Linked DNA regions of Oryctolagus cuniculus. The protein of the gene in region 3 interacts with the protein of the main gene of each other region in a biochemical or structural test. Links are inferred from orthologs where the notes say so. Each region holds a gene or a part of one and is shown on either strand. Other genes may lie near its edges. The genes, in order: CCNB1, CTNND1, CDH1 and JUP.

Evidence for each region.
Region 1: of the proteins of CDH1 (region 3) and CCNB1, one has a biochemical effect on the other in vitro, tested with the Homo sapiens proteins (3 studies listed by BioGRID). The link is inferred for Oryctolagus cuniculus from reciprocal best matches to the Homo sapiens genes CDH1 and CCNB1.
Region 2: the proteins of CDH1 (region 3) and CTNND1 form a complex in vitro, tested with the Homo sapiens proteins (5 studies listed by BioGRID and IntAct, with this or other methods). The link is inferred for Oryctolagus cuniculus from reciprocal best matches to the Homo sapiens genes CDH1 and CTNND1.
Region 4: the proteins of CDH1 (region 3) and JUP form a complex in vitro, tested with the Homo sapiens proteins (2 studies listed by BioGRID). The link is inferred for Oryctolagus cuniculus from reciprocal best matches to the Homo sapiens genes CDH1 and JUP.

Annotation. Positions count from the first base shown.
Region 1 is NC_091445.1:90,144,485-90,151,944, forward strand, and holds the start of CCNB1 (G2/mitotic-specific cyclin-B1), read left to right. Parts: upstream 1-2,521; 5' UTR 2,522-2,665; coding exon 2,666-2,686; intron 2,687-3,089; coding exon 3,090-3,260; intron 3,261-3,352; coding exon 3,353-3,505; intron 3,506-4,383; coding exon 4,384-4,566; intron 4,567-7,268; coding exon 7,269-7,427; intron 7,428-7,460. UniProt on the Homo sapiens protein: Essential for the control of the cell cycle at the G2/M (mitosis) transition.
Region 2 is NC_091432.1:14,351,658-14,358,594, forward strand, and holds the end of CTNND1 (catenin delta-1), read right to left. Parts: intron 4,355-6,937; coding exon 4,292-4,354; intron 3,808-4,291; coding exon 3,704-3,807; intron 3,294-3,703; coding exon 3,132-3,293; 3' UTR 3,109-3,131; intron 2,922-3,108; coding exon of another isoform or gene 2,910-2,921; 3' UTR 798-2,909; downstream 1-797. UniProt on the Homo sapiens protein: Key regulator of cell-cell adhesion that associates with and regulates the cell adhesion properties of both C-, E- and N-cadherins, being critical for their surface stability.
Region 3 is NC_091449.1:51,966,941-51,973,877, forward strand, and holds part of CDH1 (cadherin-1), read left to right. Parts: intron 1-1,256; coding exon 1,257-1,400; intron 1,401-1,530; coding exon 1,531-1,686; intron 1,687-2,248; coding exon 2,249-2,393; intron 2,394-4,750; coding exon 4,751-4,926; intron 4,927-5,054; coding exon 5,055-5,183; intron 5,184-6,181; coding exon 6,182-6,364; intron 6,365-6,937.
Region 4 is NC_091448.1:20,924,720-20,932,242, reverse strand, and holds the start of JUP (junction plakoglobin), read right to left. Parts: upstream 4,228-7,523; 5' UTR 4,070-4,227; exon of another isoform or gene 3,985-4,069; intron 1-3,984. UniProt on the Homo sapiens protein: Common junctional plaque protein. The membrane-associated plaques are architectural elements in an important strategic position to influence the arrangement and function of both the cytoskeleton and the cells within the tissue.

The DNA.
Region 1 (7,460 bases), on a different chromosome or scaffold from region 3:
TTTAGTGGTGAATCTATTGTGTATACTACAATCACAGAAGATATATGTCATTAGTATATTTGTCAAAGGCCATAGGCCCATACCAAGACTGACTCTTAATGTGAACTATGGAGTTTGGGTCCAGAGTCATGGTGCAGGAAATGCCTCCATCCCACCTGAGCACCAGTCCATTTCCAATCCAGCTCCCTGCTACTGCACCTGGGAAAGCAGCAGAACATGGCCCAAGTGCGTGGGCCCCTGCTACCACATGGAGTTCTAGGCTCCTGGCTTCAGCCCGACCCAGGCCCAGCCATTGCAGACATTTGGGGAGTAAACCAGCTCTCTCTGTCTCTCTCTCTAACTCTGCTTTTAAATAAATAAATAAATAATTCTTAATAAAAAAACCTGGCGTTTTGGTGATAATGGGGTGTCAGTATAGATTCTCCTATTGTAACAAAGCTACCAGTCTGGTGTTCTATATTGAAAGTAAGAGAAGCTGTACTTGCATAGGTAAACCTCTACTTTCTGTTCAGTTCTGCTGTGAGCCCAAAACTGCCCTAAAAATATACTAAAGTTAATGCAATTTTATTAAGGATTTTTGTTAAATTAGTAGATTTTAGCAGCCCTGTCACTCAAAATAAGTTAATTCTGTTGCCAGGATAATAGATATGTTAATCTGGCTCACTACAGCAACCATTTTGGCATCTATTTGTATCCCCTAACATCATGTGTGAAACTCAAATATATACAATATAACTTACTTTAAACTAGATTGTAAAAATGTTCCAAAATAAAATAATTTTTAGAAATGGAAGCAGAGGGTAGGTTGCCCAGGCTTCCCCAACCATGAAGAGGTGGGACAGGGACTCATCAAACCCCAAAGACTTACTGTCGATGGACATCTGGGCAGAGCTGCAGGATGCCTGGGAGTTAGCTGGACAGAATCCAGGGTTCTGAGGGCAAGAAGGCGGACAAAGACCCCATGGCAGGCACCCTGTGGGGGCAGAGAAGAATGACGATGACCTAACATTGAATGATGATCCAACCGCACTGAATGGGTGCTTTCTGCTACGCCAGGGGTCTTACTGGCTAGTACAGAGCTGTCTTGTGTGATCCCAGTGGTTTTGTCTACCTGCCTTCCAAGTGCTGAGGTCCTGTGTGGTTGGGGAGGTAGAAAGCAAAAAGGACCTGTTTGTTTTCTTTGGCACCACAGAGAAGCCGATCACATGACAAAGCATATGGGATAAGGTCTAACAAAGGGGCCAGCACTTGCTACCTGCAGTTCCAGCATCCCATCTGGGTGCCAGTTCGCGTCCTGGCTGCTCTACTTCTGATCCAGTTCCCTGCTAATGTGCCTGGAAAAGCAGTGGAAGATGGCCCAAGTCCCTGGCTCCTGGTTCAGATCAGTGCAGCTCCGGCCATTGCAGTCATCTGGGGAGTGAACCAGCGGATGGAAGACCTCTCTCTCTCTCTCTGCTTCTGCCTCTGTCTGTAATTCTGCCTTTCAAATAAAATAAATAAATCTTAAAAAAATGTTAATGACAGTTAAATCTGGGTAAAGGGTGCAGGGATGTTCCTTATAATTGGGTGTTTACAGCTGTTGGATAGGATATTTTTTCCAAATAAAAAGCAAAGCGACTGGCTTTGGGAAACCACGCAAGCTTTCAAAAACCAACTAATCAGAAGCAATATGGCAAGTTGACATTCTTCACATTTTTTTACTTATTTGAAAGGCAGAGTGACACACACAGAGAGGGAGAGGCAGCAGTTATCTTCCACCTGCTGGTCATTCCACAAATGTCTGAAGGAAAACCGTATGGGAACTCCATCCTGGTGTCCCGCATGGGTGGCAGGGCCCAGGCCCGGGGCTGGCCCAGCCTGGGCAGCAGGCGAGATGGGCGGTGGCCTCTCCAGCTGGACCCATCAGCCCCGAGGCGGGCATTCTTGAGAGACAAAGTCGTGGGAAGAAAAAAAATCACAGCTCCACAAAGAAAGGCAAAAGCAAACCACGGTCACCCAAACACCCCTGAGTTCCGGCCCCGCGCGGCGAAAGTCGCCGGGTCCCCGGGCTTCAGCGCCGTCCACCCCCGAGGGCCGCTGCAATGGTCACCTCAGGGCACGCACGGCCATGAAAGCCTGTGGTTAGCCCGAAGGAATCCCCGCTGCCACCGTGGAGGCAGACCGCGTGCACCGCCACGCTGGACTGCAGCCGGAGCTGCTTCACCCGCTGCGGGCACCGCGCACCGCCCTCCCCCGACCCCCGTCGCAGCTCAAGGCCAAGGCTCCGCGGCTCCGCTCCGGCAGCCCAGCCGCGCCCTCCCGCCCCGCTGCCCCGCTGCCCCGCTGCCCCGGGCGCCCGCGGGCCGCAGCCCGGTCACGTGGGAGCCGGGAGGGGCCCGCCGCGGCCGCGCTCTGCGCCCGCCCCCTCTCGAACGTCCTCGCGCGGTCGCCCTGGAAACGCATTCTCCCGGCCCCGGCGCCCGCCAATGCGGAGGGAGCGAGTGCCGCGAACCGGCCAATGAGGAGGAGCGGAGCGGGGTTTAAACCTGAGCAGGGGCCGGCGCCTCCCGGCGTGCTGCGCAGGAACGGCCGGCTGTTGGCTTGTGGAGGCTTCTGGTCCGCGACGGGTCGGGGCCTCCGGTGTGCTGCGTGTGCCCGCCGCCCGCCGCCTGTCGAGGAGGAAGCCATGGCGCTCCGCGTCACCAGGGTGAGTGGCGGCTTGCCTGCTCGGCGTCAGGGGGCCCTGGCGCGGGCCGGGCCGGCGCCCCGGGAGTGGTGGGGAGCCCGGGGCCGGCCCAGAGGGAGGCAGGGGGCCGCGGAGGTCCGGGAGGTTTGGGGCTGGAGAGAGGGCCCTGGGGAGCCCGGAGCGGGGCCTTTCGGTTTCCTTTCAGATGTAAATTCGGATGTCTTGGGGCTGGCCGGCACTTCATTGGAAGCCCCTGGGTTGGCGAACGAGGGGGTTCTGGGAGGAAGCGGACTTGCTGGGGCCGTGGGCCGGACCCTGGAGCCCTTGTTCCCCGCTCGAACCCGTGCCCAGTGCCCCGCCCTGCGAAGAGCCGCCTCTCTTGTGGCCCACCTTCATTATCCCGCGGTTGACTTGCCTCTTTCAGAACACGAAAATTAACGTGGAAAACAAGGGGAAGATGACCATGGCAGGCGCCAAGCGTGTGCCTGTGGCCACCGCTGCAGCCTGCAAGCCCGGGCTGAGGCCCAGAACGGCCCTGGGAGACATTGGTAACAAAGTCAGCGAGCAGCTCCAGGCCAAAGTGCCTCTGAAGAAGGTAGCCGCCCCTCCGCCTCCCGCCCCCACCCCCCACCCCTCACCCCCAGCCCTGGCCTGCGCAGGGGCATCCGTTCTCTCTCTCGTCTGCAGGAAGCCAAAACTCTACCTACTGGGAAAATCCCTGCTAAAAAACTCCCTAAACCTTTGGAAACGGTGACTGTACCGGCATCTGAGCCGGAGCCGGAGCCCGAGCCCGAAGCTGAGCCTGTTAAAGAAGAAAAACTCTCGCCTGAGCCGATTCTGGTAAATGCATTCTACCCGTTTAGAGGCTGTTGATTGCTTGGGATAGCATTTGAATAAACAGTGACAGTAGCAAGTAGTGAGTGCGTCCCAGGAAGCAGGCTGTGCGGAGCACCAGGCAGGCACGGACTCACACGGCCTTTACATGCACACAGTCTTCACAGGAAACGCCCGCCGTCTACATGTCCAGTCTCGGTCCAGGCGTCCTTTGCCTTCATCCCTCGAAACAGCTCAAGCATCAGCTCCTGAAGTTTTTCCTGTCCTCCCCCACCCCCACTCCTGTTCCTGGACTCGGTCACCTTATTTGTCTATACTAAACTCAAAGCCCTTTGGGGATGCCATTAAGTCAACGCTTAGTACAGAGTCTGACTTGAAAAATGCGCTTGGAAAGTGTTTGAACAATGGGGTAAAGATGGCTAGAAGGAAATGGTAACTAGTAATGAAAATCAGTTAATTTCTGGTAGTCAGGACAGAACTTGTATTCTGAGTAGTGAGAAGCAGTCCATGTTTTTTAGCAATACAAAACCAATGTCTTTTATTTGGATTGATTTCATATGATGGTGGTAGGTTCACATACATAGGTGTCGTATAATGGTGATATAACGGTTAGGTTCATTACCTAACCGTTTCCTTTGGAGGAAAGTCTAGGACGCGATTTATTTGCTTCTCTTTCACCTGTTAGTGTTTATGTTCTGCTGACTTTAACTTGGCTAAGTCTAAGTTGATGTTTCACTTTTGATATCACTTCCTAAAAAATATAATACATCTGGAAAGATACTTTTCCATTAAGGAACTGAATTATACGTCAGTTGTCTGATCTCCATTCCCAGTCGTGGCATGTGCTCCTCTTTGCTGTTGCTTAAGACATGTCTCTGTTCCAGGTTGATACTCCCTCCCCAAGCCCGATGGAGACGTCCGCATGTGCGCCTGCAGAGGAGTATCTGTGTCAGGCGTTCTCGGACGTGATTCTTGCAGTGAGTGATGTGGACGCAGAGGATGGGGCTGATCCAAACCTTTGTAGCGAGTATGTGAAGGATATCTATGCATACCTGCGACAGCTTGAGGTCAGTATTGCTGGACTGTTTTTTCCCAAACAACAGCTAGCTTTATTAAAGATGTTTTTCTATCAACAGTCCATAGTAATTCAAGCAGGATATAGGCAGTATTTCTTTGTTTCTATTTTTTTTAAGATTTATTTATTTGAAAGCTTACAAATAAGAAAGATTTTATTTATTTGAAAGTTACAGAGAGAGGTAGAGACAGGGAGAGATCTTCCGTCCGCTGGTTCACCCCAGATGGCCGCAACGGCTGGAGCTGTGCTGATCTGAAGCCAGGAGCCAGGAGCTTCCTCCGGGTCTCCCACGTGGGTGCAGGGGCCCAAGGGCTTGGGCCGTCTGCTGCTTTCCCAGGCCATAGCAGAGAGCTGGATTGGAAGAGGAGCAGCCGGAACTAGAACCGGTGCCCATATGGGATGCCGGCACTTAAGGCCAGGGCGTTAACCCAATGCGCCACAGCACCGGCCCCATCTTTGTTTCTATATTTATTTTCATTTCATCTGAAAGATAGGGACAGATCTGCTGGTTCACTCGCTGATGCCCACAACAGCCAGGGATGGACCAAGCTAACTACAGGAGCCAAGAACTCAATCTGTGTCACCCACATGGGCGACAGGGACCCAAGTACTTGAGCCATCATCTACTGCCTCACAGGGTAGACACTATCAGGTAGCTGGATTGGAAGCAGAGGAGCTATAGGCCGGAGCCTAGAGGAAGAGAACAGGGCTTAACAGGAGCATCCTGGGACCCCCTGCCCTAGTTTCAGCCCATGCTAGGTGTCAGCTCTCCCTTGAAGATGTCTGAGGCTCCTCTCCTATCAAATAAAAGACCACAGCTCAAATCCGGATGCACTTGTGCCTTTTATCGTCCCCAACATCTAATTCCATTCTGTAAGTCACCTCATCATCTGCTTTCCTTCTATTTCTAGTCACTCCTGATAAAAATAATACTTATATTTCCAGATAGCCCACAAAGCCTACTTAACACATAACATTTCTGCTTATGCCTTAGATTGACAGGCAAAAAAATAGAAAATGGTGCTACTCTAAGACTGGCTATCACTTTAAGACAAAAAATGAACAGAAAATTAAATTTCTTCTATTTTGAATATTTGTGCTTAAGAAAAGTCAGATAAGTTAGTAGAAGATAAAGAGGCAGATGGAAATTTTTGTGAAAATCATGAAGAAAATTGGAGTGCATCCAAATGCCTAGAAATTAAATTCCTGGGACTTTATTATATCTAATGTAAGTACAAATCTCTGCCTCTTTCTACTTGACACAAGGAATCAGGCTACAAGGATATACATTTAGATGTGTTTGTTTATGCATGTGCACAAGGGCATACACTCACACAGCAATGAATATACTTGTACAAGAAACACAGGAAAGCAAAGAGGATAATGCGGCAAAACAGCTTCTCTGCGATGACTAGAAGATGAGGGACAGAGGGGGAAGCTTTAAAAACAATACATGTGTACTGAGAACTTCCACGTTGATTATGACCTTGTCTAAATAAGGTCGGAGGTTGTGAACTCAAGAGGCTTCCATAGCCTTGGCAGCTCATGACAAGAACCTTGGGTGATTATTGACGTCATGAAAGTGTCAGTTGTTATATCAACAATGGGAGTCACTGTATACTTGCTCCTCATATAAGACCTCTGTCCTTAATGTGTTGTACTATCAGAATTAATGGTAAAACTAATCTTCAGGCCGGCGCTGTGGCTCACTTGGCTAATCCTCCACCTGCGGCACCAGCACCCCGGGTTCTAGTCCCGGTTGGGACACTGGATTCTGTCCCGGTTGCTCCTCTTCCAGGCCAGCTCTCTGCTGTGGCCCCGGGAATGCAGTGGAGGATGGCCCAAGTGCTTGGGCCCTGTACCTGCATGGGAGACCAGGAGGAAGCACCTGGCTCCTGGCTTCGGAACGGCACAGCGCGCTGGCCGTAGCGGCCATTTGGAGGGTGAACCAACGGAAGGAAGACCTTTCTCTCTCTCTCTCTCTCTCTCACTGTCTAACTCCCTGTAAAAATTAAAAACAAAACAAAAACTACAGATAGTACTTTTTACTTTGTGTGTCTGTGGGTGCAAACTGTTGAAATCTTTACTCATTATAGAGTTGATCTTCTGTATATAAAGATAATTAAAATGAATCTTAATGAAGAATGGGATGTGAGAGGGAGTAGGACATTGGACAGTTTGGGAGTGATATGAGGGGAAGAGCCACTATAATCCAAAAGTTGTACTTTTGAAATTTATGTTTATTAAACAAAAGCTTTCTATTAAAAAATAAAAGTGGGGGGCCAGCATTGTGTATAGCAGGTTAAGCTACTGCCTGCAATGTTGGCATCCCCCTTGAGCCCCAGTTCCAGTCCCTGCTGCTCTACTTCTGATCCAGCTCCTTGTTAGTGCACCTGGGAAAGGAGCAGAAGGTGGCCTAAGTGTTGGGCTCCTGCCACCCATTTGGGAGACCTGGATGGAAGTTCCTGGCTTGGGTCCTCAAGCTGTTGTGGCTATTTTAGGAATGACCAATGGATGGAAAATCTGTCTCTCCCTCTCTCTCTAACTCTTTCAAATACATCTTTAGAAAAAGAAGAAAACTTGGGTTCTAAATGCCCCCAGAGCAATTTTGTGTGGTAACTAACGGTTCTTTCTGAAATATAAGTATCACAGAGAGTCTTGCTTTTGAGGGTAAATCTGCATTTTCTTTTGCAGGAAGAGCAATCAGTCAGACCGAAATACCTCCTGGGTCGGGAAGTCACTGGAAACATGAGGGCCATCCTAATCGACTGGCTAGTCCAGGTTCAGATGAAGTTCAGGCTGCTGCAGGAGACCATGTACATGACTGTTTCCATAATTGATCGGTTCATGCAGGTGCGCATAAGTCATTAATTGAGGGTTCTCCCT
Region 2 (6,937 bases), on a different chromosome or scaffold from region 3:
AATTTTAATCTAAAGATTTGGGCATACAGAAAGCATTTTACATAAGTTCTCTTGAGATTTTTAATCATGACAGGAGATGAGGGCCCCAGAAAAATAAATCTCTTTCCAAAGGTCTTAATCCTTGGTCTCTGCAGTAAAGATAGTCACTTCATAATCCAACAAATATTTTCTATCACTCACATATTACTTGGTAGGATATCCAAATAATTACCAAATTTCTGATAGGATATCCTACCAGATAATATGGCTTATCAAATAAATAGGCCTATTGGTTTCTAACTATAAGGACTGAATATAGCCTGACAGCAACATTATGGCCCAGTGATCAATATTTACATACATGGGTGTTTTTATTCTACATTCTCCTATTTATTAGGATGGCAGTTGGGGTTGGTAGCTTCTAGTCTTCTCCTAAGTGTTATGTTCAAGAGAGTCATCTACTGCAGTGGGCTTTATTCAATGTTAGTTTTGTCAAATGTAGCAAGAGAATTCCAGTGACTTAGGAAGTCATTAACTACACTTCAATCTCCTACTGCTAAGTTTGCAATAAGCTCCCCAAGCTCTACTTCAGCCACATTTAATTTTTAAGAATCTTCTAAAGAAAAAATGTTTCACATATGATTTAAAAAGGACGCTGCTTGATAAAAAGTTGGACTGTGTTCAAAATAAATCCATCCCGGTGTCACCTCCTCTGGTTGTTCTGGAAAGAAAGGACACTGACACATAAGGAGGTAACCAAGATGAAAAGGAGGGAAAAGATACAGCTAGAAGTGAAGAAATGACACAGACCCCCCACATACACACTTTAAAAACTTTATTTATATAAAAAACTCATTTGTTTTTAAAAGCATTAACAAGAAAGAAAGAAAATGAGAAAAGATATGGAGCAGAAGGCATGCCCCTTAGTAGTGTTCGGTGAGAAGGTGGGATTTTTGGTTCTCTGGAATTGAATGTTTAGTGTTTTTATAAATGAGAGAAGGAAAAAAAAAACAGTTAAAGGTCCCCAAAAGCCCATGGCTGTTCTATTACCCACATCCCACCGAAAAGAGAGCACCAGGAAAAAAGCAGAGGAGGGCAAGAGAAACCAAGAGTCGAGTCAGGTGGGGATGGGGCAACTTCCCCTGTGCAGTGTGCTCCGGGGATCACGGATAACATAAGGTAGAAGGGAATAGGAAGAAATGGGAGGGGGAGAGGCAAATAAGGAGTTTTAACATATGGGGAAGGGGGGTGAATTGTGCACTTTTCTCCTACCCCATAGCCTCAATACATAAGGGAAGGGGAAAAGAGGGATAAAGAATTCCAGTTGCATTGAACAGAGCTTTCAGATTAAGGGGAGTAGAAGGCAAATAAGGAAAAGGATCAAAAAAAAAAAAAAAATTAACCCGCATAGCAGCTGATTCCTCTAACCCAATCTGCTAATACACACTAAAGCAAGAGGGTGCAATATTAGCAAGAAGGAGGAAATCGGGAAAGATGACTTCCCTACGACCCCTTCAGAGATGATGGGAAATTGTGGGCAACTAAAGAACAAGAGTCACACCACGCATTCCTCCCATTAATTCCACTTTGAGATTTATCAGAATGGGATTTTTGCAAAACCCCAACCTGATGCTGTTGAGCAAAAGCTTGCTATGGCTAAACTCAAAAGCTACGCCAATCCCCAACTGAGAATCTGAGGTTCTCTAGGTCACCTCTCCTCTTCTTTCTATTACTGAGGGCCAATAGTGGGCAAGAAAGCAACAAAATAGAATTTGCAAAATCATGAGAAATGAGACTGCAGAGGTAAAGAAAGGCACATGGAAGGGAGGGAGGAGATACACCCCAGGCCAAAGGCACAAAGAAGAGGCAAAGCCAGGGGCAATCCCCACATTATAAGGGTAAAGGGGACAGGAGTTATATACATCAAGTCCTTAGTTGGCCAACCAATCCAGGGAGGAGGCAGGGGATGAAAGGGGAGGACAAGGAGAAATGGAGAGGGGGAAGCCAGCTTTGAAGCTTCCTGCCAGTTTCAGACTAACCACTTCATGTACATTCCTACTAGCTCCTCCTAGAGGCTCCTCTTCTTTCCAAAAGACATCTTTCTGCTCCTTCTCAACCAAAAGTCTTCCTTGACATTCTCCTCTTTAAACAGTTTCTTGCAAACGGCCAGGCCAAGTCAGCAGACATATCACAACGCGGGAGAGGAGGGCTAAGGATAGCCTCAGCGGCTGCAGCCCAAAGTTGACATGAGGCTTGTAGAAGAGATGGAGTCTGTAGGTCTTTGATGGTCCCTGCCCCATAGGTGAGGAGAGCAAGAATTCTTAATCCCAGTTCTAGAAGACCTTCACTTACTCAAGGGCCCTTGCCAGGTGGAATGTGCCAATGTTGCCAGCCTTCTTTGCTTCAAAAATAGCCATTAGGAGTAAAGGAAGAACTCATACTTCCCAGTCTCCAAAAGGAAATAAAAAGTCCCTTCCCCACCAGGGGAAAAAAATCTTGATTAAGAACCATCAGTTTGTCAGATTGCTCAACACTGCATATATTGCATATAAGTTCCAATTCTTCCCATGGCTTCCAGTGAAGAAGATTCCCACTCTCTCCCTCCTCTACACACGGCCAAGAGTTCAAGGGAGAGTTGGCAAAAAGAGCTAATCTGCAGCAGTTTCTCAAAATATGCAAATAACTGAGTCAAGCTTCTTGGGAGAAACTGGAGGGAATGGGGGCGGAGGTGGGTAGGACATTTAAACTTCACTGGAAGAAGTTGGGAGTTGATATAAAGAAGGCAGCCACTTAGGGCTATAAGAGCAGGAGGCAGCCTGGCAGTTGGCACAATAGTCCAGCGAAGAAAGGAAAAAAATCATCAGTCCATTTCACCACCAAAAAATAAAAGTACATATATTATAAGCCCAGATGGAGCGGAGATGGTGGTGCTAAATCTTCTGCTGTGGGAAGAAAAGAGAAAGAGGATGTTAATAGAGCTGGGAGTAAGGAGACCCCAAAAAAGACAGTTGAGTAAATCTGGAGGAAAGCAGCACACAACCAAGAATCAGATCACCAGCTGCAGGCCCCAGCTTCTCAAGAGGTAATAATCAAAGGAGCAGAGCCCCCTGAGCCCCGCAAGGCTGAGACCTGGTGTCTCGGGTCTGATCAGGTCAGCATGATTGGCGAGCTGACACACAGGAGCCTTCTTCCTCAAGTCTGATCTCAGGAGAGACTGGAGGACATACCATGGAGGGGTAAGACACTTGGTGCCCCTCATCATCCAAAACCAACACATCCAACTCTTCCTCCAGAGATTCCCGTCCCTCGTCCTGCTGTGAACACATGCAATTTGTTAGTATGAGTGAAGAGAAAGGAATCTCGTGAGAGTGTGCCAGACCGAGTGCAAATCCCAAAATCTATAAACTCAAACAAAACAAGATGACAGTAAGAGAAGGGCACAACATTCACACAGGCAGGTTCAGGAAGAAGGCAAAGTATGAGAACAGATCAGTTAGTGTTAGTCATAACAGTAACACATTTAGACTTCCCTTCCCCCATCTTGACCACAGCAGAATAATAACCCAACAAATCCCAAAATGAATCAAAAACTCCCACTTTTTACTGAAAACACCAACAAGAAAAGGGTCTTTCTCTCTGTACCTTTTTTTCCTATTTCATAAAATATGCAGGCTTCAAAATAGAACTAGTCTTAGATGGCCAATAGTATATAACAAGAATTTACCATCAATGGTGCTCCCTTCAATGGCTCCATATCACCTAGATCCCCGGATCGATCCAGTGTTCTGTTGTGGTCCCCTCTCTCATTAAGTGTGGAATAATTGTTATCTAGTGAGAAAGCACACAGAAACATGACCTTACCCTCTCAAGTACAATATATATCAAACAGGTAAGTATGAATTACATATTTCTGACAGAAATTGAGCTTTGCCAAATGTTCCAGAAAGGCATTAATGCTTAATTGTCCCTGAAACCAACAGGAAAGACAACATACATGAGACACCCAGAGTACAACACATAATAACAAAGCTAAACTGAAGAGATCTGTTTGTAAAGAGTATTGCAATTAAGCAAAAGGAGAGCAAAGTAAGCTACAATAGTTGGGAAGGACCTGGCAAAGGAAAACATGAGCTTAAGCCTTTAGGAATGAAGAGAACGTAGAAAAGCAAACAAGAAAATGGTATTATGTGAGCAAAATTTAAATAAATTTAATGACTGGCCAATGCTTTTCCAGTATGATAAATACTGAGGATATTAGAAAAACCTATAGAGATAAATAGCTCTAAATCCTTAAGAGGCATCAATCACCTACCTAGTAATTTTGTGTTAGATCCCATACTGCTCATTTGAATCTCTTCCCGATCTGGTTTCTTATCTATAAGGAGTCAGAAAGTTATCCAGGTCAAAAACCAACTCTTTAAACTCTAGACACATCACAAAAATTACTCTTTGGTCTACAGCAAGTGGTAGCACTTAACACTGGCCCCCAAGGGCCTTTAAAAGTGGCCCTAAAGGGCTGGCACTGTGGCATGGTAGGCTAACTCTCCATCTGTGGCATCGGCATCCCATGTAGGCGCCGGTTCTTGTCCTGGCTGCTCCTCTTCCAATCCAGCTCTCTGCTTATGGCCTGGGAAAGCAGTGGAAGATAGTCCAAGCTGCATCTGCATGGGAGACCAGGAAGAAGCTCCTGAATCCTGGCTTTGGATCGGCCCAGCTCTCCAGCCATTGTGGCTATCTGGGGAGTAAACCAGCAGATGGAAGGCCTTTCTCTCTGTCTCTTCCCCCTCTCTGTAATTATAACTCTCAAATATAAATTTAAAGAAAAAAAAGTGGTCCTAGGGCCGGTGCTGTGACACAGCAGGTTAAACTGCTGCCTTCAGCAACAGCATCCCATATGGGTGCCAGTTCGAATCCCAGCTGCTCTACTTCCAATCCAGCTCCCTGCTAGTATGCCTGGGAAAGATGGTCCAAGTTCTTGGGCCCCTGCATCCACGTGGGAGATCCAGAGGAATCTCCTAGCCCAAGTCTAACCGATGTTGCCATTTGGGAAGTGAACCAGCGGATGGAAGATGGGTGTGTGTGTGCTTGTGTCTTATCTCTCTGTAACTCTGCCTATCAAATTAAATAAATAAATTTAAAAAAAAAAAAAAAAGTGTCCCAAGTGGCAGATGTTGCAGAACAGTGGGTTAAGCCACTGCTTGGGACAAACCATGTCAGAGTACCTGGTTTGAGAACCAGCTAATCCTAGCTCTGATCCAGTTTCCTGCTAATGTACCTGCAAGGCAGCAGATGATGAGTGGGCTCCTGCTACCTACGTGGGAAGACCTGGAAGGAGTTCCTGGTTCTTGGCTTCAGCCTAGCATAACCTTAGTTGTTGTAGATGTTTGGGGAGTGAAGTAGATTGAAGATCTCTCCCTTTCTCTAGGTGTATGTTACTTTTGCCTTTCTTTCTTTCTTTTCTTTCTTTTCTTTCTTTTCTTTCTTTTATTTTTTATTTATTTATTTATTTATTTTTGACAGGCAGAGTGGACAGTGAGAGAGAGAGACAGAGAGAAAGGTCTTCCTTTTGCCATTGGTTCACCCTCCAATGGCCTCCGCGGCCGCCGTGCTGCGGCCGGCACACCGCACTGATCCGATGGCAGGAGCCAGGTGCTTCTCCTGGTCTCCCATGGGGTGCAGGGCCCAAGCACTTGGGCCATCCTCCACTGCACTCCCTGGCCACAGCAGAGAGTTGGCCTGGAAGAGGGCAACCGGGACAGAATCCGGCGCCCCGACCAGGACTAGAACCCGGTGTGCTGGCGCCGCAAGGCGGAGGATTAGCCTAGTGAGCCACGGCGCCGGCTACTTTGCCTTTCAAATAAATAAATAAAATATTTTAAAATAATAACATAATAAATATATATAAATAATAATAAAGGGGCCAGTGCTGTGGAGCAGCAGATTGTCACCACTTATAAGGTTGATACCCCATACTGGAGTGCTGGTTTGAGTCCCAGCTGCTCCACTTCTGATACAGCTTCCTGATAATACACTGCCTAGGAAGGCAGTGAATGATGGCCCAAGAATTTGGGCCCCTACCATCACATGGGAGACCAGGATGGAGTTTCTAGCTCCTGGCTTCAGTGTGGCCCAGCCCTGGCTGTTGAAGCTATTTGCAGAGTAAACTAGAAGATGGAAGCTCACTCACTCTCTCTCTCTCTCACAGGTTCTGTCTTTCAAATAAATAAATAAATATTTTTTAAAAAAATAAGATTTATTTATTTATTTGAAAGAGCTACAGACTGGCTGGCGCCGTGGCTCACTAGGCTAATCCTCCACCTTGCGGCGCCAGCACACCGGGTTCTAGTCCCAGTCGGGGCGCCAGATTCTGTCCCGGTTGCTCCTCTTCCAGGCCAGCTCTCTGCTATGGCCCGGGAGTGCAGTGGAGGATGGCCCAAGTGCTTGGGCCCTGCACCCCATGGGAGACCAGGATAAGTACCTGGCTCCTGCCTTCAGATCAGCGCGGTGCGACGGCCGCGGCGGCCATTGGAGGGTGAACCAACGGCAAAGGAAGACCTTTCTCTCTGTCCCTCTCTCTCACTGTCCACTCTGCCTGTCGGAAGAAAAAAAAAAAAAAAAGAAAAAAGAAAGAGCTATAGACTGAGAGATCTTCCATCTGTTGGTTCACTCCCCAGATGGCTACAATAGCCAGGGCTGGAGCAGTCCAAAGCTAGGAGCTTCATCCAGGTCTCTCACGTTATGTATAGCAGGGACCTAAGCACTTGGGCCATCCTCTGCTACTTTTCCCTTGCCATAGCAGGGAGTTGAACAGAAAGTGGAACAACTAGGACATGAACTGGTGCACATCTGGGATGTTGGCATCGCAGGCAACAACTTTATCTGTTAAGCCACAATGCCAGCTCCAATAAATATAATAAACTATAATAATAATAAAAATAATAGGGGCCGGCACCATGGC
Region 3 (6,937 bases):
CTGGCCCTGGGCTTCGGGCGGTGCCGAGAGTCACTCCCTGCACCGTGGGCACCAGTCTCAGCGCTGGGTGTGCAGTATCAGCGGCTCATTCGGTGCTTGCAAGTGCTAATAATATCCCTGCCTTAGCTGTTAGGAAGCTCTGGTGCGGAGCGGCGAGGACTCGGCCCGAGCCAGCAGGTTCGGCAGTGAGGAATCTAGCTGGCTGGGCTCCTCTCTAGGAGACGAGCACCAGGGTGGGGAGGACAGGGGCCCGTGGGTGTGCACAGTTGTGCCTGCCCGCCTGCATGTGTGCATCGCTGTGGGTGTATCTGCTCATACGGCGTGTGCATCGCTGTGCACGCATGTGCTCGTACGCACGCACACATGCAGACAGGCAGAACTGGGGAAGGGTTCTGGGGTGCCTCGGGCCCCATCTCATCTCTACCGAGTACACCTGGAATCATTGAGAGCCAGGAAGTAGGACTTGAATCGCACCTGGCAAATGGCCGTGGGTGGGGTGGGAGCTGGGGTTTGCTCTGCAAACGTGACTGTTACCGCGTTGCACTTGGAAGCGCTCCAGTGATTTGGAAGCTGTTTTCCTGCACTTTGAAGTGCTCCAGTGACTTGGGTTTTCCTTCCCTCTTCAGCCCAGGTTTCCCTGCGTGTGCATGAAAACCCTTCAATCAGATTGTTTCCATCCCAACAGCTTCCCTTAGAACAGTGGCAACCCTGTGGGTGCGCCACGGTGAGGTGAACCGCAGGGTGGTTCGTAGGATCCATTCCCCACCCTTACTAGTACGGCCGACAACTCTGCTCTGGGGCCCTGGATTCCTGGGAAAGACGGAAACAAAGAGAAAATGGACCCCCCCCCCCCCACCCCGAGCTTCTGGCAGTTGCATCATCCCTGGTATTAACTCACTACTGCATCGTGTCGCTGGAAGATGGACAGATGCCTTGTTTAGGCTGGAGCTCACTTGTGAGTTCTCATCAAGCCTTGCAACCTGTCTGTGTGTGCTTGGTAATGACTTGGACCCCAGACACCACGAAGGGTCAAGCGGGAACACGGTCTTACGCGGCCAAGGGGTTCGTGCGTTTTGTGTTGCCCGTTCTTTTTGGAGAATGTGTATCTCACTGGTCATTGATCAGAGAGGGTGTCACTAAGTGAAAGCCACACTCTGCCTTAGAGAGACCAGATGACGCCTCCTGGATGAGGTGGGCCGTCGGACCTGTAGTGTCGCTCCTGAATTCTCATTTTTGTTCCTCCTCTTTCCTTGAAGGAGTCTTCCCCTGGAGCCAGCACGGAAGTGCTCACGTTTCCCGACTCCCACCATGGTCTCAGAAGACAGAAGAGGGACTGGGTTATTCCTCCCATCAGTTGCCCAGAAAATGAAAAAGGCCCATTTCCTAAAAACCTGGTCCAGGTAAGGAGGGCAGTTCTCTATTTGGGAGAAATCGAGCAGAGCAGCACCGGGGAGAGAAGGGGAGGAGACCTGACCGGGGGAGGGGTGTCGTTGCTCAGCGGCCCTGTTTGCTTTTGGCTCCTGCCTTCAGATCAAGTCCAACAGGGACAAGGAGACCCAGGTCTTCTACAGCATCACCGGCCAGGGAGCCGACACGCCGCCTGTTGGTGTCTTCATCATCGAGAGGGAGACGGGATGGCTGAAGGTGACGGAGCCTCTGGACCGAGAACACATCGCCAAGTACACGGTGAGTGCCTCCGAGGAGCTTGGTTGACAGTGGGTTGGCTTCCGTCCAGAATCTAGGTCAACCCAGATCAGATCCCCGACATGGGAGGGGCTCGATCTGTTGCCAAGGAGACGAGACAGGGGCACCCAGGACAATTTGAAGTTGTGAATTGTTTTCCTTTTAGGAGAAAGGGGGGGACAGTGCTCTCGTACCATGCGTGAGTTTAGACCCAGGATATCAACCTGCTCTTGGCTTAAAGGAGCAGTGGTGACACTGGGGGAAGAACCAGTTCCTGGACTTGGTAGCAGGCAGTGTGGGTTTGGGGCGGCTGGAGGGAACGTGTTGGTGCACGTGCAGAGGGGTCTGGGGCAACTCCAGACTGGATGGCTTTATCCCTTCTGGGCCTGATGCCCTGGTCCTCGGGGTGGGAAGCAGAAGGGGGTCAGGATCTCACTGAAGCAGCAGCCCAGGTCTCAGAGTAGAAGTCGCAGAGGCCGGAGGATCCCACACTGCCCTGGCCAGGCCCATCCTCTGCCTCTTCATCCTCGCCGGGGCCCGAGTAACCTTCCACTGGCTCCTGCAGCTCTTCTCTCACGCCGTGTCGTCTAACGGGAACGCCATTGAGGACCCGATGGAGATCGTGATCACGGTGACGGACCAGAACGACAACAGGCCTGAGTTCACCCAGGAGGTCTTCAAGGGCTCGGTCATGGAAGGCGCGCTACCAGGTCTGTCCAGGACGAGCGGCTGGTTGCCTGGAGCCGGGGTCAGGCCCCTGACGCGGACCCTTGCTGTGGACAGAACTTGTTTGGGAGCCAGTGTGTGTGTGTGTGTGTGTGTGTGTGTGTGTGCACATGCAACACAACCTAGCCTCAGGAATGTGCGACTGATGGAGCAGTGACAGCCACCTCCCCCCCTGCCTAACACAGCAGTGCTTGTGTATTGCTCTTTGTTCTTCTAAGGTTTATTATTTGAAAGTCAGAGTTAGCCATCAGTTTTCCGTCTGCTGGTCCACTCCCCAGACAGCCACAACCATCAGGGCTTAGCCAGGCAGGAGCCAGGAGCTTCATCCAGGTCTCCATGTGGGTGGCAGGGGCCCAAGCGCTTGGGCCATCTTCTGCAGCTTTTCCCAGCCCATTAGCAGGGCACTGGATCGGAAGTGGAACAGCTGGGACTCAAACCAGGACCCATATGGGATGCCAGCATCGCAGGTGGAGCCTTACCTGCTTTGCCATAGCCACATGTGCTGCTCACACAACATGCTGAGCCATGTTAAGCGATGACAGAGTGTCTCCCAGGTGGCTGAACCGGTTTACATTCCCACCAGTAATATAGATCCTGGGCTTACTGGACATTTTGGCGTTTGCCTACCTGTCGTGTGATTATGTCTTAGTGCAGTTTAAAAGGGCATCTCAGTGATTACCAGTGAGCTACACAACTTTGCTAGCCACTTGTGTTTCTTTTTCAGGACTGTGTGTGTGTGTGTGTGTGTGTGTTTCTGTTGGGCTGGTTGTGTTCCCTAGTGATCCTTTTCCTAACTGTGTAGTTGTTTAAAAAAATTTTACTTATTGAGGGATAGAGAAAGAGCACTCCCATCTGCTGATTTACTCCCCAAATACCCACAACATCTGGAGCTGGCCAGGCTGAAACCAGGGGCCAGGAACTCCAGGTCTCCCATATGGGTTGCAGGGACCCAAGTACTTGGGCTATCACCTGCTGCCTCCCAAGGTGCAGTAGCAGGAGGTGGAGTCGGGAGCAGAGCCAGGACTTGAAGCTAGGCAACTCCAGTGCCTACTCAGTGCCTTAGCCACTGGGCCAATTGCCTGCCCCCTTGTTGATTTTTTTTTTTTTAAAGATTTTATTTATTTGAAAGGCAGAGTTAGAGAGGTGGAGAGAAAGAGAGAGAGGTCTTGTATCTGCTGGTTCACTCCCCAAATGGCCACAACGTCAAGAGCTGGACCAACCTGAAGCCAGGAGCTTCTTCCAGGTCTCCCATGTGGGTGCAGGGGCCCAAGGACCTGAGCCATCTTCCACTGTTTTCCAGGCGCATTAGCAAGGACCTGGATCAGAAGTGGAGAAGCTAGGACTTGAACTGGCTCCCATATGGGATGCTGGCACTGCAGGCTGGGGCTTTAACCCTCTACGCCACAGTTGCTGGGCCCAAACCCTACCCTGTTGATTTTTAAGCATTATTTAGATGTTCTAGATACTAGACTAGACACTAGTCTCTTGTCAGTCACACGTGTTAATGAGTATTTTCTTCCACCTTGAAGGCAATGATCTCAAATTACCATGCACTCCAATAAAGCTGCAACAACAAGCCAAGTGAGGAAAGTTCTGGAATGTTCTTTCTGTCTGTCTGTCTGTCTTTCTTGGCAGAGGAAAACAGGAGAGATTGATTGATTGTTCATCTTCTGGCCCACTGCCCAGATGGTTGCAATGGCCATGGCTAGACCAGGCTTAAGCCAGGAGCCTGGAAACTCCATCCAAATCTCCCACCTGGGTGCAGGAACCAAGCACTCAGGTCATCTTCCGCCGCCTTCCCTGGCACATTAGCAGGGAGCTGGATCAGAATTAGAACAGCCGGGGCTCAAACTGGTGCTTGTACATAATGCCAGCATTGCAGATAACAGCTTAAGGCATCACACTACAATGCCAGTGCCTGGATTTTTCTTATCTTTGATGCCATTCACTCAGTAAAGCCACATCACAAAGTGTTGTAGAGATATTTAGTCCTCAGATTCACCTCTGCGTGCTGCCCGAAATGTGTGTTGGAAAAGTTGGGTCCTCGTTTGGCTGGATGCTTTCTTCCTCCCCTTGCGCTTTAGTGAGAACGTCAGAGAATTGGCATCAGCTGCTGGTGGGGGAGCCTGGCTGTCGCAGGCATCCGGGGAGTTAACTGGTGGGAAGGAGCTCGCTCCGTCCGTCTCTAACTCAACGGATAAAGTAAAAGTTCAGCACTCAGGGCCCAGGAGCTGGGACGTGACCGCATCGAAGCTGCCCTCTGTCCTGTGGGCACGAAGTCGGCCCCAGGGCGGCCGTCAGGTTCCCAGCCTGATTGCGTCTTCTTCCCCGGGGCAAACAGGAACGTCCGTGATGCAGGTCACGGCTACGGACGCGGACGATGACGTGAACACCTACAATGCTGCCATCGCCTACGAAATCCTCAGCCAGGAGCCCGAGCTGCCGCACAAGAACATGTTCAGGATCAACCCGCAGACCGGAGTCATCAGTGTGGTCACCACCGGGCTGGACCGAGAGGTCAGGAGGACCCAGGGGACATGGAAGCGGCTGTGTGGTTGGCTAAATCCCGTGGCAGTGCGAGGCCACTTGTCCCAGAGCGGCGGCCGCTGCCCCCGTCCTAACCCGAGTGTGCTTGGTCTCCGCAGACGTACCCCGAGTACACCCTGGTCGTTCAGGCTGCTGACCTCCAAGGCGAGGGCTTGAGCACCACGGCGGAAGCGGTGATCACGGTCACTGACATCAACGACAACCCTCCCGTCTTCAACCCCACCACGGTAATCTCCCAGCGGTGCTGCTGCCCTCTGTTTGGGAGCCGAGCTTCCCCACTGCTCTGGGGAGGTCCTGCGTGCGCTCCCCAGCCCGGGCGATGCCGACTTAGAACCTGGAGGCCAACGCTCCGGCCTGGCCGTTGTGCTCGGGCATCTTTTTTCCCATCTCTGGCCCCGAGGCCCCTTGGTGGAGGACCGCGAAGATGCAGACAGCGCCCCTCAAAACCATGTCCTTGCCTCGCGTGTCCTTGTTGCGGATCTTACAGGGGTTCATTTACTCGCTGGGCAAATGTTTCCTGCTTGCAGCTGCACACTGTGGCGTGCGCTGGAGGCATCCTCACAGACAAAGCACACACAGGTTCTGTTCTACAGCTCAGCGTCTAGCCGGGGAGATACTGAGTAGTTTGCACGCCTTACTGAATACCAAGTATAATAAATGCATTCTGGAAGAAGGCACCGAGGGCCGAATGGAAGAACTTACTGTATTAGTTAGGAGTTGAGTTATTGGCTGGCTACATAGGCCTGATTATGTAAACAAATAGGGTTGACTCTTTTTTTTTCTCTAATGTGGCAAAAAGCCTGCAGGTAGATGGGGTACGCTTTGCTGAGGCCACTTGTCACCTTAGTGTGGTGACAGCAAAGACCCCAGGGAAGAAAGCCAAACAAGGCAGGTGTCCAGGAGCTCGTGGGTAGAGGGGAGAATGTTAGAATTTGTCCTTGGGCACAAAGGTGCCCTCACGACCAAACTCTGGAAGGAGATGACTGATGGAGGGTGCACGGGGGTGGAGCTGGACCGCAGTGTCCATGCGGGGCTTAGGTCACTGCCCCAGCTGGGTTGGCAAGCTCTCGGGGACTTGGGGAGCCAGGGCCTTGGAGAGCTATGCACAGGGTAGCTGGCCTGGCCTGTTGTACCAGGCCTCCTGCAGGCTCCGTTAGCCCCCTGGGCCCCGGGCACCCTGGGCCTCTGCATACCGGGATGACCTGTTCCTCCCTTGGCTCTGCAGTACGTGGGCCAGGTGCCCGAGAACGAGGCCAACTACCTGGTTGCCACGCTCAAAGTGACCGACAAAGATGAGCCTAACACCCCGGCCTGGGAGGCTGTGTACACCGTATTGAACGATCCTGAGGGCCAGTTCATTGTCACCACGGACCCGGCCACCAATGACGGCATCCTGAAGACAGCCAAGGTTTGTGCAGTGCCGGGAGGGGACGTCCCCCAGCTGTTCCCACCAACCCCCACCCCCCGGTCTTCTCTGGTGTCGGTCAGCGTTTGCTGAACCAGGACCTGGTGCGATGGCGTAGGGGTCGTAGTGACCTGCAGGCCAAGCGGAAGAGGATGTCCTGTCTGCTTTCCTGTGCTCCTTCCCAGACCACACTCCACCTCCTTTTGCAAACGGCAGGAAGCAGGGTTCCGGAGGCAGAGACAGACACAGAGCCCTCTCATCCACTGAGTCACTCCTCAAATGCCCGAAACACTTGAGGCTGGAGCAGGCCAAATGCGGTAGCCTGGAACTCCATCCAGGTCTCCGGCGTGGATGGCGGGGAGCCAAGTGCTTGGGGGTCACCTCCTGCCTCCACAGCGCACGTTAGCAGGAAGCTGAGATGGAATCCAGGCGCTCCATGTGGGATGCCAGAATTCCGGTTGCATCCTAACTGCTGAGCAGATACAGCCGTCCTCGAGAAGCGTCTTAGAGATGTGAAAACCGAGACGTTTTTGCTGAAGGTAGTCATGGAGGTCATGGGCGCCTGGCCCAAGCCCA
Region 4 (7,523 bases), on a different chromosome or scaffold from region 3:
GCCGTCCACTCCCGAGGGTGTGATTCTGCAGGGACCGTAGCCTGACCCTCTCCTGTTCCTGTTCGCTACACTTCCTTGAGCGGCACACACTGGAGAAAGCCAGGACTGGGACAAAGGTTTGGCTAAAACGTGTTCTGGTGGACAGAGCATGACCTCATCAAGACGGAAGCCAAGGCACAAAAGGACGATAAGAAAGCGGAGGAGACCTCGCAGGGGCTGCCGACGGGGCTGGATTCTGGATTTTTCTCTTTCCCTCGTCAACTTTTTTTTAACACCCCAACTTTTTCGCAATCACCCCCAAAGGAGCTTGCTGACTACCCAGCCCCTGTCCCCGACACGGCCCCGCTCCCTGCCACCTGCTGCCTCCACCCCGTCCACCGCTGGAATATGGGGCAATCGGGTCCCTAGACCTCAGCCAGATCCAACCTCGGCCAGATCCAACCCGGGTCCCAGCAGAGGCCTCAGGCTGTTGCGTGCAGGAACAAATTCCAGGGACCTGCCCCCGCCAGCTCGGGGGGGTTGGGGGGGAGCAGCCCGTGCCCTCACTATCGTGTCCCTCCTCTCCCCTCCATGCAGACCCCAGCAGCCCCCTCCCCTCCCCGCTCCAGGCAGGAGGGTCCTCCTCAGAGAAGACACAACACTGGGCCCCCACCTTAAGGGACAGGAAGCTGCCACTCCTTCTACGTGGCACCAGTCTCGGCTCCCTTGCCACCCACTCTCTCGAGTCAGCCAGGACCCACGGGAACCTCTTCCCTCAGTCCCCTCCAGTCCCCTCTGCCTTCTGTGCAGGAGCAGCAATCCCCATGCCTGGGGTCCGCTGGGCCCTGGAGGGGTGTGGAGGCTGCTGGGGCTAGGCTACAGAACCCACCTCCACGCCCCCTCCGGAGCCGGGTGTCAGATGCGCAGATGGCAGCAGCAGTGCCAGACCCAGGCAAGCCTGGGAGGACAAGGGGACGCCAACTCCTCACCCCAGGGCCAAGAGGGGCTCAGGCTGACAGGGGGCACCCATGGCGCTGCCGCCCCCAGTGAAGGAAGAACCCCTGCCCAACCACCTTCCACCTGCCCCTCGGGGCTCCCAGGCTTCCGACACAGGCCAGCCAGCGCCCCACCAAAGCAGGCTGATGGGGACATGAGGCAGCTCTCTGAACCCCGGCTCTCCTCTCTGCACTCCCCAGGGAGCAGCCCCCTCATTTTCTTGGCACAGCCCCAGCACCTGCAAAGCAGGCAACTCCTACTTCCCACCCAGCTCCAGCCCCCTCTGCCCCTTGCCCTCTTCTCCCTGCCCTGTCCCGCCCCTGGCCTTGGGGGAGCTGCCCCCTCCTCCAAGAACTAAGAACCCAAGTCAAGAGGGCGGGCAGCTAAGACGTGAGTCACCCCACCGGACAAACCTGCCTCCACCCACACACACCTCACTGGGCCTTCTGAATGCTCTTCTCGGTCAGGCAGAGGCTCTCCAAAGGGGACAGCAGAAAAAAATCATTCCAGAGCTGCGGGGTGAGCTCTGGGCTTGGAGCCCCAGGACCCAAGTGTAGGCGCTGGCTTCGTAGGGGTCTCACTGTGCGACCTTGGGCAAGTGCTTTAACCGCCCTGTTTCCATCTCCTCTGTGGATAGCAGACAACAACAGCTGCTTGGGAGGAGAGCCGGACAGATGAGGTGGGGACAGTCACGGAGGCTGTGTGCGGACCCCCCCAGGTCTCCCCTTGATCTTAGGTGAGCACCCATCAAGCCCTTGCTGGGGAGCTGGGAAGATTCTTCCCATTTTGCCAATGGAATACTGAGGCTCAAAGAGGTGAAGGGCTTTGACCACGCAACACAGAGCTGCGATGGAAATCAGTGCCTCTCCCCCGGCCCTTCTAGAAGCCCACCGGCCACCAGACCCAGCACACTCCAAGGCAACTGCTGCCCACGGGACCCACCCGTGGGCGTCCAGGAAAGGTGGCAGGCTGCTAGCCCTCGCCTGACCTACTGGGCTCCTACATGCTGCATTCTCCCAGCTCAGCCCTGGCAGCCCAAACAGAGGTTCCACAGGGAATGGGGAGGAGCTGGGGGGGGGGGGGGCTCCTGTCACCCAAGATGGGGTTTGGTCTGGCCAGAAATGACTAATCGGGTCCTACCTCCCCCCCACCCCGCCCCAGACTGCCCAGCCAGGAGCCAGTTTTCACCAGGCACCTCCTAGCAATACTTCCTTGCTATTATCTTTTCATCACAGCCACAAACCAGATTAGCTAAACTAATCATTTAGCCAACGTAATTACAATGCCTTCCCCTCCTCCACCTTAGCGCAGAGAGGAGGGAAAACAGGCAATTTGGGCCCCAACTCCATGGCTTCCTAGAGGTGCGCCGGCACACACCACACAGCAGAACAGGGCTTCGGTCCCCTCCTCAGGCTCCCTCACCCCAAGGAGCAGCCAGATTCTGCCCTGGACACACCAGGGAGGTGGGTCTGGCCTCCCCTCCCCCTCAGGAGGCTGGGCTCCAAATCCCCCAAAAAAGACCACACTTGAATTCTTAAAAACCAGGGAAGACAGCCTGGTAGAGATCCCATGCCGGGCAGGAGGAGCGCTCGGGAAATTGGGGGGGGCAGGTCGGGTGGGGCCCCAAGGCATGTGTGAGGGAGCCTAGCATTGAAGCAAAGCACCCCAGAAAGCCTTGCTCCCGCCTCCCCCTCCCCCACCAAACTCTCCCGGGAAAGGGGGTGGGGAGGCGAGGGTCTGCAGAAGCTCCAAAAACTGGGAAATCAAAGGGAGAGCCAGTCCGGGCCTCAGCTCCCGCCAGGGAAGTCGCACAGGACTCGGTAGAGGAGGGGAAACAGACAAGAATCACCACTCCCCCACCTTCCGCAGTTTGGCCCAGTCCTGCCCCACCCCCATTCCTGGGGAGGGGGCAGAGCTTGGGAGAGAGCCACCAGCGCAGGCCTCATCCGAGGGGGTGTGGTGGTCCCCGGAGGCAGGAAGAGAAGGAAGAAGCTGCTTCCCTTCTCAGCCCACCCCCCACCCCGGCCCCCACCTCGGGCCCCAGGGGCCCAGCAAACAGGATGGGGGTGGGGGCGGGGGAGGCAGGTCAGGGCGCAGGCACTGGGCCGGCGCGGGGAGGGCGCCCTGCCCCAAGGAAGCAGGAAAGCCCCCAGAGAAAGCAACCGCGAACACTTCCTCCAGGAAAGTTTGTTCGGGTGATTTTTCAACAGGAAGGTAGAGAAAGGTAGCTCCGTTCCCACATCGACACTGTGGGAGCCACAGCGACAGAGAGCCGGGCCAGGTGACCCCGAAGCCCTTACCTAGGCACAGACCCCTACCCGCAAGCCCCAGTCCGAGCCACAGGCGCCGGACACCCACTGAGCACTGACCAGGGCTCTGCCCCAGCCCCACGGCCACCCCATCCCACTTCCGCTGGAAGAGCCCCAACCCAGCGCGAACTGGAGCGGAGGGGGGCGCCGCAGGTACTGCGCCGACGGAGCTCCGCGAGCTGCCAGGCAGGGCCTGCGGCTCCGAGCGCTCACCTGCTGGGCAGGTGGGGCTCGCGTCTCTGGGAAAATGCCTGCTTGGCCCCCACAGTTGGGCAAGCCGGGCGCAGACAATAGGGCCCCACCCAGGCCTGGGGGAATAGGGAGGGAGTGAGGGAAGGCGAGGATGACGCGTGGGTGGGGTGAGGGTGGCCCCAAAGAGACCAGTGGCAGCAAGTTTACTAAACCGTAAATTCCCAATAGCAGAGTGAGCCCTAGGACGCGGGCGGAGCAGGTCAAAGTCTCCCCAGCCAGCCCAGGGCGAGTCAGGGACGCGGCATCGAGCTAGCTCCGCGGACTCCGGGGGAGGCGCGACCCTAGAGGCACCTGTCCCGGCCCCTCCCAGCCCTTCTCGGGTCTCGGGCTCATCGAGGCCCGAGGTGCGCTTGGCCCCCACCGCGCGTCCCCTGAGTCGCCGTGCCCAGGACCGCAGCGCGCCCCCTGCCGCCGGTGCAGGGTGGCGCTCCCTGGCACCGGCCCTCACCTGCCCGGAACGGCTGGGACTGGTCTCTCGACCGCTCGCCGCCCCTTTCCTCTCCCCAACGATACCTGGCCCCGATCGTCCGCACCTGCGTGTGGAGCCTGGCCGGGCTGGGTCGGGGTCGGGCCGGGGTGGAAGCCGGCGTGGGCAGCAAACTGAGCTCGGCGCGCTCGGGCGGCGGCTGCTCCGGACTCTGGCCAAGGCAGCAACTCAGTAACCGAACAAAAGGCGAAGGGACCTGACAGCCAAGCCACGCCTCTCGCCCCCTCGAAGCTCCACCCCCTAGGGAGACGCCCACCCGCTGCTGCGAGCTCACTGGTTGCGGCGCCTGACTGTCCCAGAGAGGGGCGGAGCCTCGCGCCCAGTCCTCTTCCACGGCCGCCTCTGTTTATCCGATCGCCATTGGCCCAAGGGACTGCCAGTTGGCTCTAGGGATGGGCCCCCACTTGAGGCACCATATTAACTCTGCACCTATTGGCGGATAGAAAGTTACTTCCTCCTGATTGGACGAGGGGCTGTCAGTAAGATTAAGGAAAGGACCAATGGAAGGGATGGGGTGTGTCTTGCCCCACCCTAGCTTTGAGCAGGTAAGACTCATTACTCTCCCCTTCCCCCTACCTGTCCAACAGGTGAGTCAGGGGGCGCCGTGGGAAAGGACAGACGCCTTCGCCGGCCAGCCCACTTAGCGTCAGGCATGATGTTTCTTTGGGCTTATTCATCCTTGCGCCAAGGTAGTAATCACATAGTTGTGTAGCATTTCATAGGCTTTGTGCTGGGTTGGGATTTTTCCCCCCCGCAGAGGATAGAGAGTTCCTGAAATTTAGGACTAGAAGGCCTGGGTTTGAGTTCTGCCATTTGTTGGTGGCAGGTCGCTTCACCTTTCACCTTGTCTGTCCTCATCTGTAAGATGGGCACATTCACGAGAGGGCCAAGAGCTGGATGAGGTAAGGCCCTTGGACAACTGCTAAGTGTCGGGATTTAAATCGATGATATGATTTTTAAAATGCTGCTGACAGTTCCGAAAAATTGCCAGGACAACCAAACAATCCTCATTTTAAAGATCGGAGAAATCACTAGGAAACGACTTGCCTTGAGCCGGAGCCCCTTTTCTCTGATTTCAAGTCCCACCGAACCTCGGTTTGCTCCTCCTGGAGGAGTGGGTACTGACATCAAAGCAGCGGGGAAGGACCAGGGACACGGCAAAGCAAACACTCTGGGGAGTGATGGAAGGGCGGTTATTTGGTCCAAGGACAGAGCATTGGCATAGGGAGCTTGGGCAGGTGTAGACAGAATCAGGCAGTGGCCGTAAAGGAAGAGGAGTTGGGGCATCAAGGGAGTGGGGCAGCAGGGCTCTCTGTGGTCCAAGAGCCTGGGTTGGATATCAGAAAGAACTTCCCATGGGCAGTGTAAGGTGACAAGGGTATACCCTTACAGTGCCTGAGGAAATGAGTGCTGCTCATGACGTACACTGTGCCAAGAGTCTCACAGATGTCCACTCGTTCAGTGCAAGTATTGAGCACCAATTGTATGCTGGGCACTGGCTTAGACCCTGGTGGAGAGCTCACAGAGACTCTGTGTCAAGTGTCTGTAGCTTGTGTGTCTTGGGGGAGTGGTCGCGTATAGAGAGTCCACCCCTCCAACATGCTTCGCAGCCAGCCGAAGCCAGCACACAGCACGGGCTGGGGGGAGGTACCCCAGTGGCCCCTTGACCACCGTCCTCAGCAAGGGAAGGAGTGATGGCTGAACACTCTCTTGTCTGAAGCCTCACCATCCAGGAGTCTCCCTGTGATGGGGCCAAGGACGCATCGACATCCCTGAACCTACAGCCACCCCAGATGCCATGTCCCTGACCCGCTCCTCCAGCTGACCACGGGCCCCAGCCTGCCACACAGCACGGGGCCGCCCACAGCCTGGGAGGGAAAGCGCTCACCACCCTCGGCTGCTGCCAGGGCCAGGCTGGCTCTTGCTCCCCTCCCCACCCTGACCGGCACACCGACACACCAACACACACGTAGGCCTTCCCAGCCCCACACCTTGGCTCCACTCCCGCCTCATTCTCCTGACTTCAGCAAACGCGCAGGGTAGGGCTGGCTGACTGCAGAGAGGGGCGGGGGCACTGGGGTGGGGTGGAGGGAGGAACCCCTGTGTGTGCGTGCGCACGTGTGTGTGTCTCCCAAGAATGCCCCCTGCGTGTCTGAGTGCGGAACATGCTGCAACACGCCTGCCCCAAAGCTGGGCTCTAAGGCGGAGACTGGCTTCAGGCACCACCCACAGCAGAGAAGATAGATTCCAGCCCTGTCTCTCCTCAGAGGAGGGGATTTTGTGCGCATTTATTAAGCACCTACGGTGTGCCTGCCAGGCACAGAGGATTCCTCCGTAAGTGGTGTTCCCTGGAGTCAGCTGTCTGTAGAGCAGATTTTTTTTTTTTTTTTTTGACAGGCAGAGTGGACAGTGAGAGAGAGAGACAGAGAGAAAGGTCTTCCTTTGCCGTTGGTTCACCCTCCAATGGCCGCCGCGGCCGGCGCGCTGCGGCCGGCGCACCGCGCTGATCCGATGGCAGGAGCCAGGAGCCAGGTGCTTTTCCTGGTCTCCCATGGGGTGCAGGGCCCAAGCACCTGGGCCATCCTCCACTGCACTCCCTGGCCACAGCAGAGAGCTGGCCTGGAAGAGGGGCAACCAGGACAGAATCCGGCGCCCCGACCGGGACTAGAACCTGGTGTGCCGGCGCCGCTAGGCGGAGGATTAGCCTAGTGAGCTGTGGCGCCGGCCCTGTAGAGCAGATTTGCCCTCACAGGAGGAGGTGTCTGGGGGCAGGGACGAGGTGTGCTGGAGGTGTGCTGTGGCCACAGCCTCCCCTGTGCCTTGAACTTGAAGGAAAGGCCATGAGGTCATCTCCTCCAGGACACCCCCCCCCCCCCCCCCCGCCAAGCCTTTAAAGGTAGGGATTTCTCTGTTTGACAAATCTCCAGCTGCCCTGATGAGGCCCCTGTGCCCCAGTGTGGGCCGTGAGCTCCTCCCGACGTCCGGTCTCAGCCACACGCAGGGGTACTGATTCCGACATGCACATGATAGATGTGTCCCCTTTCTCTCCCACGGCCCCGCTCCCCTCCCCGGCATGTACCCACTGCCCCCTTTCCCTCTTCTTGAGCCTCAAGTAGCCTACAAGATGGCCCCTTCCATCAGGGGACCGAGGTGGACAGCTGGGTGCCAAGCTTCACAGCAACACGCAAAGAACACAGACAACTGGAAGTGCCTCCCGTGGGGCAACACAGGGTGGCGTTTGGCTCAGAGATTAAGACAACATTGGGGGGGACGGCGCTGCGGCATAGGGGGTAAAGCCGCCACCTCCAGTGCCAGCATCCCATAAGGGCGATGGTTCGAGTCCCAGCCGCTCCACTTCCAATCCAGCTCTCTGCTATAGCCTGGGAAAGCAGGAGAAGATGGCCCAAGTCCTTGGGCCCCTGCACCCACATGGGAGATCAGGAAGAAGCTCCAGGCTCCTGGCTTCAGATGGGCCCAGCTCTGGCTGTTGCTGCCACTTG